3 linked regions of the Macaca fascicularis genome follow. The main gene of each other region encodes a partner of the protein of the gene in region 2 in a complex. Links are inferred from orthologs where the notes say so. Each region holds a gene or a part of one and is shown on either strand. Other genes may lie near its edges.

Evidence for each region. The genes of interacting proteins can lie anywhere in the genome.
Region 1: the proteins of KCNMA1 (region 2) and LRRC26 are in contact, whole or in part, in a cryo-EM structure (PDB 7YNZ), measured with the Homo sapiens proteins. The link is inferred for Macaca fascicularis from reciprocal best matches to the Homo sapiens genes KCNMA1 and LRRC26. Residues at the interface, in NP_001154824.1 of Homo sapiens: Pro78, Cys79, Asp80, Ser81, Arg82, Gln84, Trp88, Ala92, Ser93, Val96, Thr97, Glu155, Trp158, Met159, Ser161, Val162, Trp165, Cys206, Leu226, Leu227, Phe229, Gly230, Leu231, Phe233, Ile234, Asp251, Phe252, Pro256, Phe259, Val260; in NP_001013675.1 of Homo sapiens: Gly204, Cys205, Gly206, Cys207, Ala208, Arg236, Leu237, Ala249, Phe250, His252, Cys253, Ala254, Gln255, Leu257, Arg260, Asp261, Leu262, Val264, Val265, Tyr266, Leu268, Gly269, Pro270, Ser272, Phe273, Ser276, Leu277, Cys280, Leu281, Leu283.
Region 3: the proteins of KCNMA1 (region 2) and KCNMB4 are in contact, whole or in part, in a cryo-EM structure (PDB 6V22), measured with the Homo sapiens proteins. The link is inferred for Macaca fascicularis from reciprocal best matches to the Homo sapiens genes KCNMA1 and KCNMB4. Residues at the interface, in NP_001154824.1 of Homo sapiens: Phe98, Phe99, Leu102, Phe103, Leu106, Leu107, Arg109, Thr110, Tyr113, Leu114, Thr116, Val117, Asp238, Leu240, Trp241, Leu244, Pro327, Trp328, Asn330, Gln332, Leu367; in NP_055320.4 of Homo sapiens: Thr11, Glu12, Ala13, Glu14, Lys16, Ser17, Leu20, Leu24, Ile34, Phe35, Cys38, Trp39, His105, Thr164, His165, Val183, Leu186, Ile187, Leu190, Thr191, Ala194, Leu197, Ala198, Lys200, Ala201, Met204.

What each region holds. Positions count from the first base shown.
Region 1 is NC_088389.1:2,146,477-2,149,758, forward strand, and holds LRRC26 (leucine-rich repeat-containing protein 26), read left to right. Parts: upstream 1-1,466; 5' UTR 1,467-1,571; coding exon 1,572-2,244; intron 2,245-2,329; coding exon 2,330-2,664; 3' UTR 2,665-2,760; downstream 2,761-3,282. Other genes in the region: TMEM210 (transmembrane protein 210), read left to right, coding at 171-200, 437-626. UniProt on the Homo sapiens protein: Auxiliary protein of the large-conductance, voltage and calcium-activated potassium channel (BK alpha). Required for the conversion of BK alpha channels from a high-voltage to a low-voltage activated channel type in non-excitable cells.
Region 2 is NC_088383.1:68,824,877-68,829,174, reverse strand, and holds the start of KCNMA1 (calcium-activated potassium channel subunit alpha-1), read right to left. Parts: upstream 2,821-4,298; coding exon 2,452-2,820; intron 2,194-2,451; coding exon of another isoform or gene 1,783-2,193; exon of another isoform or gene 1,764-1,782; intron 1,758-1,763; coding exon of another isoform or gene 1,511-1,757; exon of another isoform or gene 1-1,510. UniProt on the Homo sapiens protein: Potassium channel activated by both membrane depolarization or increase in cytosolic Ca(2+) that mediates export of K(+). It is also activated by the concentration of cytosolic Mg(2+).
Region 3 is NC_088385.1:77,096,456-77,100,679, forward strand, and holds the start of KCNMB4 (calcium-activated potassium channel subunit beta-4), read left to right. Parts: upstream 1-1,402; 5' UTR 1,403-1,837; coding exon 1,838-2,173; intron 2,174-4,224. UniProt on the Homo sapiens protein: Regulatory subunit of the calcium activated potassium KCNMA1 (maxiK) channel. Modulates the calcium sensitivity and gating kinetics of KCNMA1, thereby contributing to KCNMA1 channel diversity.

The DNA.
Region 1 (3,282 bases), on a different chromosome or scaffold from region 2:
ATGGGAGTGAGGCCAGGCTGCCTGCCCTGGGCCCTCGGTCTTGCAAGAGGGGCCTTTACCCCCGGGTGGGCTGTCACCTGGGGTAGGAATGGTGTTTCCTAGGCGTGTGTTGGGGGAGGTTCGGGGGCCCAACACTGTTCCAGGACTCATGTCGGTCTTCATCCCCTCAGTGAAACATGCCCGAGACTAGTGGACAACAGGTGAGCACCAGGGAGGCCCTCCAGGGGGGTGCGCTGTCTCAAGGGAGGTCCTGGGGTGGGGTGTGCTGTCTTAGGGGAGGCCCTTGGCGCAGGAAGCTATCCCAAGGGAGTCCCTGGAGGAGGAGGGGTGCTGTCCCAGGGGAGGCCCTTTGTGGGACTGCGCTGTCCCAGACACTGGCCTGCCCTGGAGGATCAGGACTCCACCAGCTTGTGCTGACCTGGCCCCTGTCATGCAGGTTGATGGAGAATTTTGGGGTCCAGGAAAATCGCATGGACCTGCACCCGGTATATGTGGAGTCCCAGCTAATGGACGCTGACCTGGAGGTCTCCATGATGCCGCCACTAGAGGATCAGAGCCTTGTGGCCATTCCCATGGAGGCTTCTCCAGAGGAGCCGCCGCCACCCCCGCCCCTACCACCTGAGTAGGGCTGAGGGCAGCTGGGGGAGGGGAATTAAAGTGTATTTAGTGATTGTGTACTGTCCTCCCTGCAGGCTCTCACACCCCTCAAGGCTGCATCATGGGGGGTGCACACGCATATGGGTCTCATCAAAGCAGGGCACCCAGGCCCCACACCAGGTTCCCCTGTTCCTCTGCCCCAGGGCAGGAAACCAAACCCATAATGTTTCCACCTTCTCTACCACAGCTGGTCAGCCTGGCTCCTCCCTACACCCTGCTTTGGAAAGCCCCTAGAACAGGACCTGAAACTGGCAACTCCGAAGGGCGCTGGGTTTAACAGGAGGACTTGGGCTGATACCGCTGCCCCACTGCACTGGTCTGTTTTTCTGACGGTCCAGGAGAGTCCTAGGGGGAGGGGTGGGGCAGGCACACCTCTCCTGCCTGGGGTGTGCTGTCTCCCTCCATCCCAAAGCCTGTCTCCAACCCAGGCCCCATCCACCATGGGAACGGGACCATCCCTGCGTGGGGGCCACTCCGCGTGTGCACGTTGGCATCACTTTGCTGAGCCTGGGTGGGGTCGAGACGGGTGAGGAGTAGGACCTCTGGGTTGCATTGCGTGCGGGAGCCTGTCGCAGCCGTGAGCTGGGTGGGTGCAGGTGGGCGGTGTCCTGTTGCTCAGGGCTCGGCGGGCGCCCGGTGGTGGACAAGGCGGGGCGAGGTGGTCTTGATAGCGCTGTGGCCGGCGCTAAGCCAAGAGTAGTTTGGAGCTCCGGGACAGGTGGCTGGCGGTGCCGGGCGTTGGCTGTTTGCCTTGCCTCCGCCCCAAGCGTGGATCCAGCCGTGGGACAGGAACTGCCTGCGCTCGGGCCAGAGTTAATATTTGTGCAGGCGCCGCAGGAAAGGGCTCCGCGGACGACGCGCTCCGGGGACACGCAGGCAGCGGGCCTCTCACCGCGGGTGCCGGGGCTGCCCCCATGCGGAGCCCTTCTTGGTCGCGGCCTCGGCCGTTGCTGCTGCTGCTGCTGCTGCTGTCGCCTTGGCCTGTCTGGGCCCAGGTGTCGGCCACAGCCTCGCCCTCGGGGTCCCCGGGCGCCCCGGACTGCCCCGAGGTGTGCACGTGCGTGCCGGGCGGCCTGGCCAGCTGCTCGGCACTCTCGCTGCCCGCCGTGCCCGCAGGCCTGAGCCTGCGCCTGCGCGCGCTGCTGCTGGACCATAACCGCGTCCGCGCGCTGCCGCCCGGTGCCTTCGCGGGAGCGGGCGGGCTACAGCGCCTGGACCTGCGCGAGAATGGGCTACGCTCGGTGCACGGGCGAGCCTTCTGGGGCCTGGGCGCGCTGCAGCTGCTGGACCTGAGCGCCAACCAGCTGGAAGCGCTGGCACCAGGGACCTTCGCGCCGCTGCGCGCGCTGCGCAACCTCTCACTGGCCGGCAACCGACTGGCTAGCCTGGAGCCCGCGGCGCTAGGCGCGCTCCCGCTGCTGCGCTCACTCAGCCTGCAGGACAACGAGCTGGCGGCACTCGCGCCGGGGCTGCTGGGCCGCCTGCCCGCCCTAGACGCGCTGCACCTGCGCGGCAACCCCTGGGGCTGCGGGTGCGCGCTGCGCCCGCTCTGCGCCTGGCTGCGCAGGCACCCACTGCCCGCGTCAGGTGAGCTGTTAGGGATGCGGGTTGGGGTCTGCAGGGCGGTGCGGCCGCTGCCGCCTGATGCCACGCCCTTGTCTGTGTCCCACAGAGGCCGAGACGCTGCTCTGCGTGTGGCCGGGACGCCTGACGCTCAGCCCCCTGACTGCCTTTTCCGACGCCGCGTTTAGCCATTGCGCGCAGCCGCTCGCCCTGCGGGACCTGGCCGTGGTCTACGCGCTCGGGCCGGCCTCCTTCCTCGTCAGCCTGGCCGCCTGCCTGGTGCTAGGCTCCGGGCTCACCGCCTGCCGTGCGCGCCGCCGCCGCCGCTGCCGCACCGCCGCCCTCCGCCCGCCGAGACCGCCGGACCGGAACCCTGATCCCGACCCCCACGGCTCTGCCTCGCCTGCGGACCCGGGGAGCCCCTCCGCTGCCGCCCAAGCCTGAGCGACCGCGGCAGCCTGGAGCGCTCGAAGCTTCCCCCATGCCTTTGCCCTCCCTTTACACTCTCTGCCGGGGTCAACAAGCGACACAGACCGAAAACTGCGTGACATTCCTTTAGGCATCACCACTGCATACACCGGGAGGTGGGGGGTGGGCGATGTGCGCCTGCACCCTGGGGACTGAGGGGCAGAGCGCGGCTGCGCACGGGCCGCACGGGGAAGGCACGCGCTCGGGCCCTGGGAGTGCTGGTCCTGTACAAGGTGGCGGGCCGGTCACGCACCCGGAGCGAGGGCGGGGGCGGGCGGGTGGCGCTTTCCCGTGCCCAAGGTGCAGGGCGGGGTTGAAGACAGTCCCGAGCCAGCGTCCGAGAAGGCCCGTTCTGGGCTGCAGGCCGGACGAGGAGAGGAGGGGCTCAGCCCTCTCGAGTCTGGAGGAGGCGGCCCGAGGCGGCGGGAGCCCGAACGCCTCTGGGAGGCGCTGCCAGCTGGGAAGTCAGGGACGGCCATGGGGGAGGGCAGGGCCAGCCCCGGCGTGTGGGGTCAAGGGGCAGACGGGGTGTGGGTGGGCGGTGCCGCAAGAAGAGGGGAGGGTGGAGCTCAGGCTGCAGAGGAGCGCAGGCGC
Region 2 (4,298 bases):
GCAATAAAATTACAGACCTCAAGCATAGAAAGAAAAGCTTTTAAAAGGTTTAACTTACCATTATTGCTTATAATGAGCTGGCTACCTATGTCTTAAGTGAGCGAATCTAGGGGCAGATATCAAGAGATTCTGGGCATGCTTTAAAATGGACTCATGGTATCAAAAGGAACCTGCACTCATTCTATACTGTCCTCACATCTTCCGAACCAACAACCATCACCTCTCATCCCTGGCGGACTTCTTATAGCAACTAACTTCCATTTATGTCCACTCAGCAGGTCTTGGAGCTACAAAATATAGCCAAATATTTATGAATTGTTTTTTCTAATCGTTGCCAAAAACCTATTTTCTGGAGTAAACTGACAGAAGTTATGCTTGCTCATCATTTAGGAGATCCTTTGTGTGTGCAATGGGATTAGCATTTCATTACAGACACAGCAATTGCATTTATGTACTCCCTCGCGTTAAAATATTTTGGAAGCTGTGTTTAGGACCCCAGGATCACAAAAACACCACAACTTATTTTGAATCATTGAAAAAGTTTTCATTATGATCAAAATTGCCCACTGCCTGAAAGAAAGCAAGCTGTTAAAAAGTTCACCCAGATCACTCCATCTAGGGAACATTTCAGACACACACAACTGTGAGCTATCTTTCCTCTAAAGACAGTCGCTGAATCGCAGTAAACCGGGGAACAAAATTCCCAAGACTGTTGGGGGAGGTGGAGGAGAAGGATGGAGAGAGGGAATGTGGGAATCTGAAGGCTCCAGGAATAAGCTGTTCTCAGCAGGAAGGCTAGGCAGGGATCTGGTGTATAGGGCTTTGCTTAACCTGAGGGCTTCTCTGGCAGGTAAGAGGTTTTCCCACTTAACAAATAAGAAAGAACCTCTACGACTGAGAAGGTAATTCCAAAGAAAACTCTCCGGCCAACACCTGCAGGCCTCCGGAGAAGTCAGAGAATGACGAAGAGAATGACGGTTTTCATATTTCTCCCTTTGTTCCAATACACCAGTATTTTCCAAAACACAAATGTGCTGCCACAAAACACAGCTGAGCTCCAGCACCCAACAGGATGTATAATTAATGATCAGGAGAGAGAGCCTCCATTCGCCCTGGTGTTTTCATAGTCAGCCTTCACCCATAGCCCCTGGCTTCCCTACTTCTCTCAGCCGCTAAGGAGGCTGCTACAAGTTGTTGTGCCCTGTGGAACTTTGAGGGGTCCTCAGTTTAACTTTACTAGAAAATATGTGAACATGTGGAGGCTGCAATGTGTGTCTACCCTGCACTATTCCCTTGGATGTCCCTTCCCTCCAAAACGGTTCGTGCTGTGAAGTCTCCTAGGATGGGAATTACTCAGAAAGAAGGCAGCTGGGTCACTCTCTTTTTTTCCAGTTCTTTCTTTTTTACTCTGCAGTTTTCTATTAAACAGCATCGGGCCCCCCAATCCAGCTAGTAGCTGTGGGGAAGGGAGGACATCTCTAGGGACACGACTACAGACCAGGCAGTGAGCCTAGCAACCATACATCGAAGGTGTCGCCAGCCTCAGTGCTGGTGGGCGTCTGCGCCAGGAATAGCTAAAGCCGACGACATCTAGCCACCTTGAGCGCCAGGGAAGAAGCTCCGCGTAAAACCGCGGCCTCAGGTGGACCCCCGCTCCAGCTCCGCGCTGCTGGTGGCATTTCCGGGGACCCAAAGTGGGTGGCCTGGGGGCAAAGGAACAGAGGCCGAAGAACTTGGGGTATGTTCCAATAGAGCACCTAAGGGACGGAGTGGGAGGTTACATCAGATATGCGACCTCAACACATTCTGAAAGTGGCAGCCCCATGGGCTGCCCCCAATACTGGGATGGATCTCCCCAACTTCTCTCGCCCCTCGAAGTCCCCCTGCTATCTCGGGCCATGCTCCTCCCCTGGGATTCCCTTGTGCAAAATTATTCTCTCCCTTGCCCAAAGGATTTTCCCTTCTTTCTGACCCCACGAACTCATCTCCCCAACAGGTTCCTAAAGTATGGGCGGATGTCCTCCCTCTCGCCCACCGCCAGGAGCCGAGCCCCGGCAGGTGAGCGGTGTAGAACACGCACCCAGCTGCCCCCACCTCCCTCTGTCCCCGAGGGGTAGGCTCTCCCCACCCCGCACCACGGCACCCAAGACTGTGCGTTCCCCACCCCGGCCCCAGCCGCAGCCGCCAACAACCCTACAATAAACAAGAGGGCAGGATTGGGCGTCCGTGTCCCGGAGCGCATCGGCTGGGGGCAACTCCTCACCCCCGGCGCGCCGCCCGCTGCCCCGATCCGAGAGCACCGGGAGAGCCGAGGGAAGGGAAGGCGGCGAGGGGAAGGCAGGCGGGGATGGAGGGAGGCACTGCGCGGCGCGGAGCGAGGAGGTGGGCTGCAGGGGACGCTGAGAAGCTGCGGGGCTGGCGCAGAGGGCGGGCGCCCGGGGCGCGCGTTACCTTGGTCTTGCCCCCGCAGTGGCAGCATACGGTCCACAGGTACTTGAGCGTCCGCCAGAGCAAGATGATGAAGAGGCCCCCGAAGAAAGTAACCATGGAGGAGGCCAGGAAAGCCCACCACATGCGTTGGCCCCGGCTGTCGCACGGCACCTCCATGGTCACCGGGATGATGAGCGCATCCATCTTGGGCTCGTGGACCGAGGACGAGGAGGAAGAGGAGGAGGAAGAAGAAGAAGAGGAAGAGGAGGAGGAGGACGCGTCTAGGCTGAGATGGTTCGCGTGGATATTGCTACTCATTCTAAGACTGCTGCCTCCGCCGCCGCCGCCGCCGCCGCTGCTGCCGCCGCCGCCGCCGCCACCATTTGCCATAGCTAGCAACGGGCAGCCGGCGCAGGGGCTCGGGGGAGCTCCTCCCGCCGCCAGCGCCACCCCAAACACCCATCAACAGCCATATTGCTGCTACTGCTGCCGCCGCCGCCGCCGCGGAGCGCGGGAGGGGGGCGGGGAGGCGCCTGGGCTCGGGGCGCTGTGCGCGACCTGGCGGGGTGCGCCGAGATATATACAGCGAGCCGCCGCCGCCAGCCCTCCCCCCGGCCGCCGGCCCGCCCGGGGGGGAGGGGGATGGAGAGCGCTGGCAGCTCCCCCTCCCCGGCCCGCGCCCCGCTAGCCCCGGGCTGCGCTGGCCCCGAGCTCCAAGACCCAGGGGGCGCCGCGGGCCTCCCGCGCCCGGGGTCTGTGCCGCCCCCGGGCCCGCCCCGGCTCCGCGCGCGGGCCCGGGTGTCCTCGGCGCCGCGCCGCCCGCCGTGCGCCACGGGTGTGCGCTGCGCTCGGCCGGGGACCCCCCTTCCCCGCGCGCCTCCTGCGCGGCTAACGAGCCGCTCTCTGCTTATTAGGCGACAACTCGTTAATAATGGATAATCGGCCCCCTCCGCCCTGGCGCCCCCGCGCCAGCCCTCCTCTCCCGGCTGCGCTCGGCTCGGGCTCCCCGCCCCAGTGCGCGCCCGGCCGCAGCAGGTTCACCGCGTCCGGCCACCGGGCCGTGGCCGCCTGCTAGCCCATGCTCCCCGGACCCCGAGTCCTGTCGCCACGCCGCTGAGCCCCTCGGCCTCCGCTCGCTCTTCCTCCTCGCCGCCTCCGACTCCTCCTCGTCCCCGTCCTCGCCGCCCGAGCCTCTTCGGCGCGCGCCCCGCGCTCCCCGCAGCCGCCAGCAGCAGCAGCTGCAGCAACTGGAGCGGGCGCGGGCTCAGGACGCCCGAGGCGGGAGGGGAGGAGGCTCGCCGCGCTGGCTCGCCTGGGCTCCAGGCTGGGCAGGGGCGAGCAGGGCCCCTCGGCGGCGGCCCGGCACGCGCCCCTGACCCCCAGGGCGCCAGGTAGAGCGCCCCCAGCCCAGGCGCAGGGCCAGGCGCCTCTCTCCAAGGTGCTGCGCCCCCAGCCGAGAGCGGTGGGGTACCCGGGGAGGATGGCGGGGAGCCCCGGTCAGGCCGTTTTTTTCCCAAAAGAGCCCCCAGTGGGTAGGGGAGGAGTGCCAGCTGTCAACTGGATTCCACAGACTGAGCGCCCCAGGACCCTCGGGCTTCGGAACTGAGGAGGACCCTACGCCAGGATATACACAGCGACCCACCCTCTACTTCGCTCTTCTCCCTGCTTCCTATGTGCCCAATGTTCCGTGTGTGGCTGGAGGGCAGGGTCAGGAAGGCCGGTGGGTAGTCTGTGGCCTCTGACAGCAGCAGGTGGTTTCTCTCCTTTTTCCTTATTAGCAACAGAGGCTGCCCAAGAGAGAGTAGGCAGAGATGATCAGGACGACCTGACCTGGGGATAGTGCAGGCCCCAACAGACAACAGAGTTCC
Region 3 (4,224 bases), on a different chromosome or scaffold from region 2:
AGGAAAGAGAAATCAAGAATTCCATGATTCCATGTTTCCGTATTCATCAGGAACATAATTAAGAGTTTATTCATTTGCGACTTACAAACACAAAAAGTTTATGTCGTTTGCAAGGAAGTCAATATTCTGATTTTATTCTTCGAAATGTAGATATAAATAGGTCTCAAGTTTGATTTTATGATAAAAGTGTGGTTTGGGAAAAGGTAATTCCAACTTTTAAAAGGTCGCGAAAAGAATAGAGGCTGAAGCATAGTTGGGGTGGAGGTAATTGGGGGTGGAGGTAATTGGGGTTGGAGGGAGCAACGGCAAGTATTAAGAGCAGAACACAGGTCTAGAAACAGTACCTGTAACAGAGTGGGCCTGCCTGCTGCTGTCGCTTTAAACAGCGCTCCTGGAAAGCTTATCTACAAATCCTGGGGCGGGTCACGGGTGGCAAGACTCCTAAGGAGGGAAACCACATAAACGATTCTGTTCTTGGGAGCTCCGAAGCAAGTTCTGATGGGAAAAGTGGTATTTCTTTCCAGGCTGCAAAGCTCTCCACCTGTTTCCTTTAGTCTCAGTCAGCCCCAGCCATGGGGGCAAATCAAGTTGGGGTCGACCCGGCTGCCAGAGACGTAAGTTGCCACAAGGGTCACTGAGGACCTGAGCAGCAAGTTTCTTTTGTCCAGCCTCCTGCCCCCACGCACGTTGCCTCCACAGCAAACTCCACCTGACTCAGCCTGTTTAACTCCAATCCTGCAGCCCTCCCGGCCGCAGCAGGGTCAGGGGGCGCGAGTCTGCACCAAGACGGTTAGGAGGCCCAGGTCCTGGGACTGGACGGTTACCGCGCTCCCTGGGGCGGCGGCGCTGGCGGCGTGGGCACCGCTGGGTCACGCCTCTGGCACCGCCGCGCGCCAGCCCGCCCGTCGCATGGGGACCTGCGGTTGAGTAGTCCCCGGGGACCTCCCAGCGCACACCGCTAGCCTGGGGCTTTCACCTCGATCCGCCCGGCCCGGGCGGCCCGTGTCCTCCCACACCGCCACGCGTGCCCGCTTCCCGGGGTGCGCCCGGAGCCTGGCCGCTCTGCCCGCAGGTGACCAGTCCCCGTTTAGAGTTCAAGATTCCCGCCGCTCCACTTGAACTCCACCCTCCCCTCTGATTATTATTTTTTAACTTTCCCTCCGGTTAAGCTAAATCGATCTTAATCTTTCATCTCGGACGTCCCTCTAAGGGGACTCAGGGAAGATTCCAATTGCAAGTCGCCGCTGTCGCTTGTGCCCGTCAACCCCTCGCCCAAAGGAGACGCCCCCGGGCAGGGCGGGGCGAAGCGGGGCGGGGCGGAAGGGCCAGGGTCGGCGGCGGACGGGGCGGGGCGGAGCCTCCTCCTGCACGGGGGAGCCCCCGGGCTCGCCCCAGCTCAGGCACTCCTAGCCTTGGGGCAGCTGCCGGACGAGTCCGCGGAGAAGCGGCCAGCGGGCGATGGAGACAGAGAGACACCCGACGAGAGGAGGCGGGGTGGGGGAGGCGGGGAGAGTGCGGGGGCGGAGGCTGGCAGGGGGCGCTGGAAGCTGGAGCGGACCGTGCGCTCCCCGCGCCCGAGGGTGCAGGAGGCTCTGAAGCGGCGGCTGCACCGCGGGGCCCAGGCGGCGGCTGGGGGGCTGGGGGGCGCTGCCGCCGCCGGGGGCGTCGCTGGCCTCGGCCCCTTTGTTCTCGCGCGCTCCCCCTCGCCGCCCACTCCCCTGCTGTCGCGCGGCGGCGGCGGTGGCGGCGGCGGCTCCTCCCGCCCGAGGCAGTCGGGCTTGGCGCCGGGGGCGGGAGGGGGCGGGGGGAGCGCGCCAGCCGCCGAGAGTGGGGGGCGATGGCGAAGCTCCGGGTGGCTTACGAGTACACGGAAGCCGAGGACAAGAGCATCCGGCTCGGCTTGTTTCTCATCATCTCCGGCGTCGTGTCGCTGTTCATCTTCGGCTTCTGCTGGCTGAGTCCCGCGCTGCAGGATCTGCAAGCCACGGAGGCCAATTGCACGGTGCTGTCGGTGCAGCAGATCGGCGAGGTGTTCGAGTGCACCTTCACCTGTGGCGCCGACTGCAGGGGCACCTCACAGTACCCCTGCGTCCAGGTCTACGTGAACAACTCTGAGTCCAACTCTAGGGCGCTGCTGCACAGCGACGAGCACCAGCTCCTGACCAACCCCAAGGTAAGAACGCCCCGTGCACCCAGGGGCTTCCCGCGAGGGAGGTTTGGAGGCAGCGTCGGTGTTAGACTCCGCGCGGGGAGGGTTCGGCGAGTGCTCGCATTGCTGGGAGGAGACCAGGTGGCGCAGGCTGTACTCAAACCAGGAATGAGTACATCAGGGAGCCCGAGGGCACCGGTCTTTTAGGTGGGCTTACGCGCCGCGAACAGTGGTGCCCAGAGGCTTACTTTAAAACCTGTCTTGCCTGGTCTCAGATTTTGAGGCCTCGACCCAGTCCGGGTCCTGCGCCTACCGGACTGGGTTTGAAGAAGTGCAAGGAGCCAAGAAAGTTAACTTTTCCTCCATTTAAAGCCAGTGGTTAGCGGGGATCCACCTACTCCAGCTCATGGTCAAGGTTCGAGCTTCAGTTGGTCTCATCTAGAACTCAGATGGAATGACCTTCCTTGAAAGGTTGAGGGGACCCTCGAAAGTTGTGAGAGAGTTCCTTACCTTTTCGCTCTACACAGCCATTTTCAACTTGGGGTTCAAAGATAAGCTTTTGTGGCTTGACAAAACGACCTGGAATCAAATGTGGAATATTGCGGGTCCATTTTGGGAAGTACAGAGGGCTCCTAGTTTTCATGAGATAGATTCTCAAAAGAGTCTACAGGGAGCCTAGTTACCCTTTGTGTTTAGGGACAGTCAGGAGCCGTCTGGAGAACAGTAAAACTTGCTGAAAATAGAAAACCTTCAGTGAAATGTACCTAACATGACTTCTCTGACAACTTCTTTTGGTCTCGAAAGCAAACAAGAAGAAAAAGCAGAAGAAAAAAAAAAGATAAAACCTGGTTAGGACTCCCGGGATGGAGAGCAGAGAGAGGAAGTCTCAGAAAACTGTTCCCAATGGAGAAAAATAACTTATAAAAAGCAGTGTCCTTAGCCTGTGAACTAATTGAGCTTTGTAGTGTACCTGGTTCTGGTTCCTTTTTTACTTCCCTTGATCTTTTCTACTCTCCTTGTTGCTTAACTATCAAAGTAAAGGTATGTATCTTTTTAAAAGTTACTGACATTTTTCCTTTTTTTGAGGGATCAAGCAGAAAAACAGTCCAAAAGGGAATGAATCTTGTGTTCACAGGAACACTTTATTAACTGTAACAAGATATATTTGTATTAATCCAAAAGAAAAAAATTCTACATTAATATTGTAGTAGTATTTAAAACAAGCTTACCATCACTCTGCAATAAAACTTGTGGTCTTACCTCCTGAACAGTAAATTCTTGAATTTGAGACATTTTTTAAAATTTCTCAAATTATTTTTAAAAAATTTCTTTTTAAAAATATGAATGACTTCTCCCTCCCCCCAAAAAAGCTCCTGTCGACAGATGAATATTGATTTATCTTTAAAAGTATCAATAATATAAGCAGTAAATATAGGACTAAGAATATAGAATTTGGAGTATATTGTTGAAGATCTTGAAGAAGTGATAACGTCTCAAAGACAAATGTTGTAACTTGATCCTCTTAATGCTCAGGAATTTAAAAAGAAATCTCAGGGTTTTAGAAACATCATTTTTTTTTTTTTTTGGAATTAAATCAATAATGTCAAAGGTAAGTGCCAACCAGTAGTAATGATTTAGAAATTTTATGGCAGTTCATCATTTAGAAGTTGTTATAGTTGGTGAAACACTGCTAATTATTTTAAGATAGTGGTTCAAGCACTAATAAATTTCATATCTGTATATACATATATATGCACACACATTAATAAATGGCTAATATCTAATCAAGACATGGACACATTATAATTTATTACGAAAAGACTGCTTCACGATTTCAGGCAGTTTGAAGATCTGGCAGAAAAAGTAAAATGAAATCATTGGAACATTGATTTTTAAATTACCTAGAAGCAATCACAATGCTTTATGTAATACTAAGATTTCTCCTGTCTTTCTCTCTCTCTCTCCCCTGAAAATAATCATTTTTTTTTCCAGTGCCAGTTCAGATCTTGGCAACAGTTGTTTTGAAAAATTACCTGAACAAAATACATTTTATAAAGTATTCAGGAACTGACAGA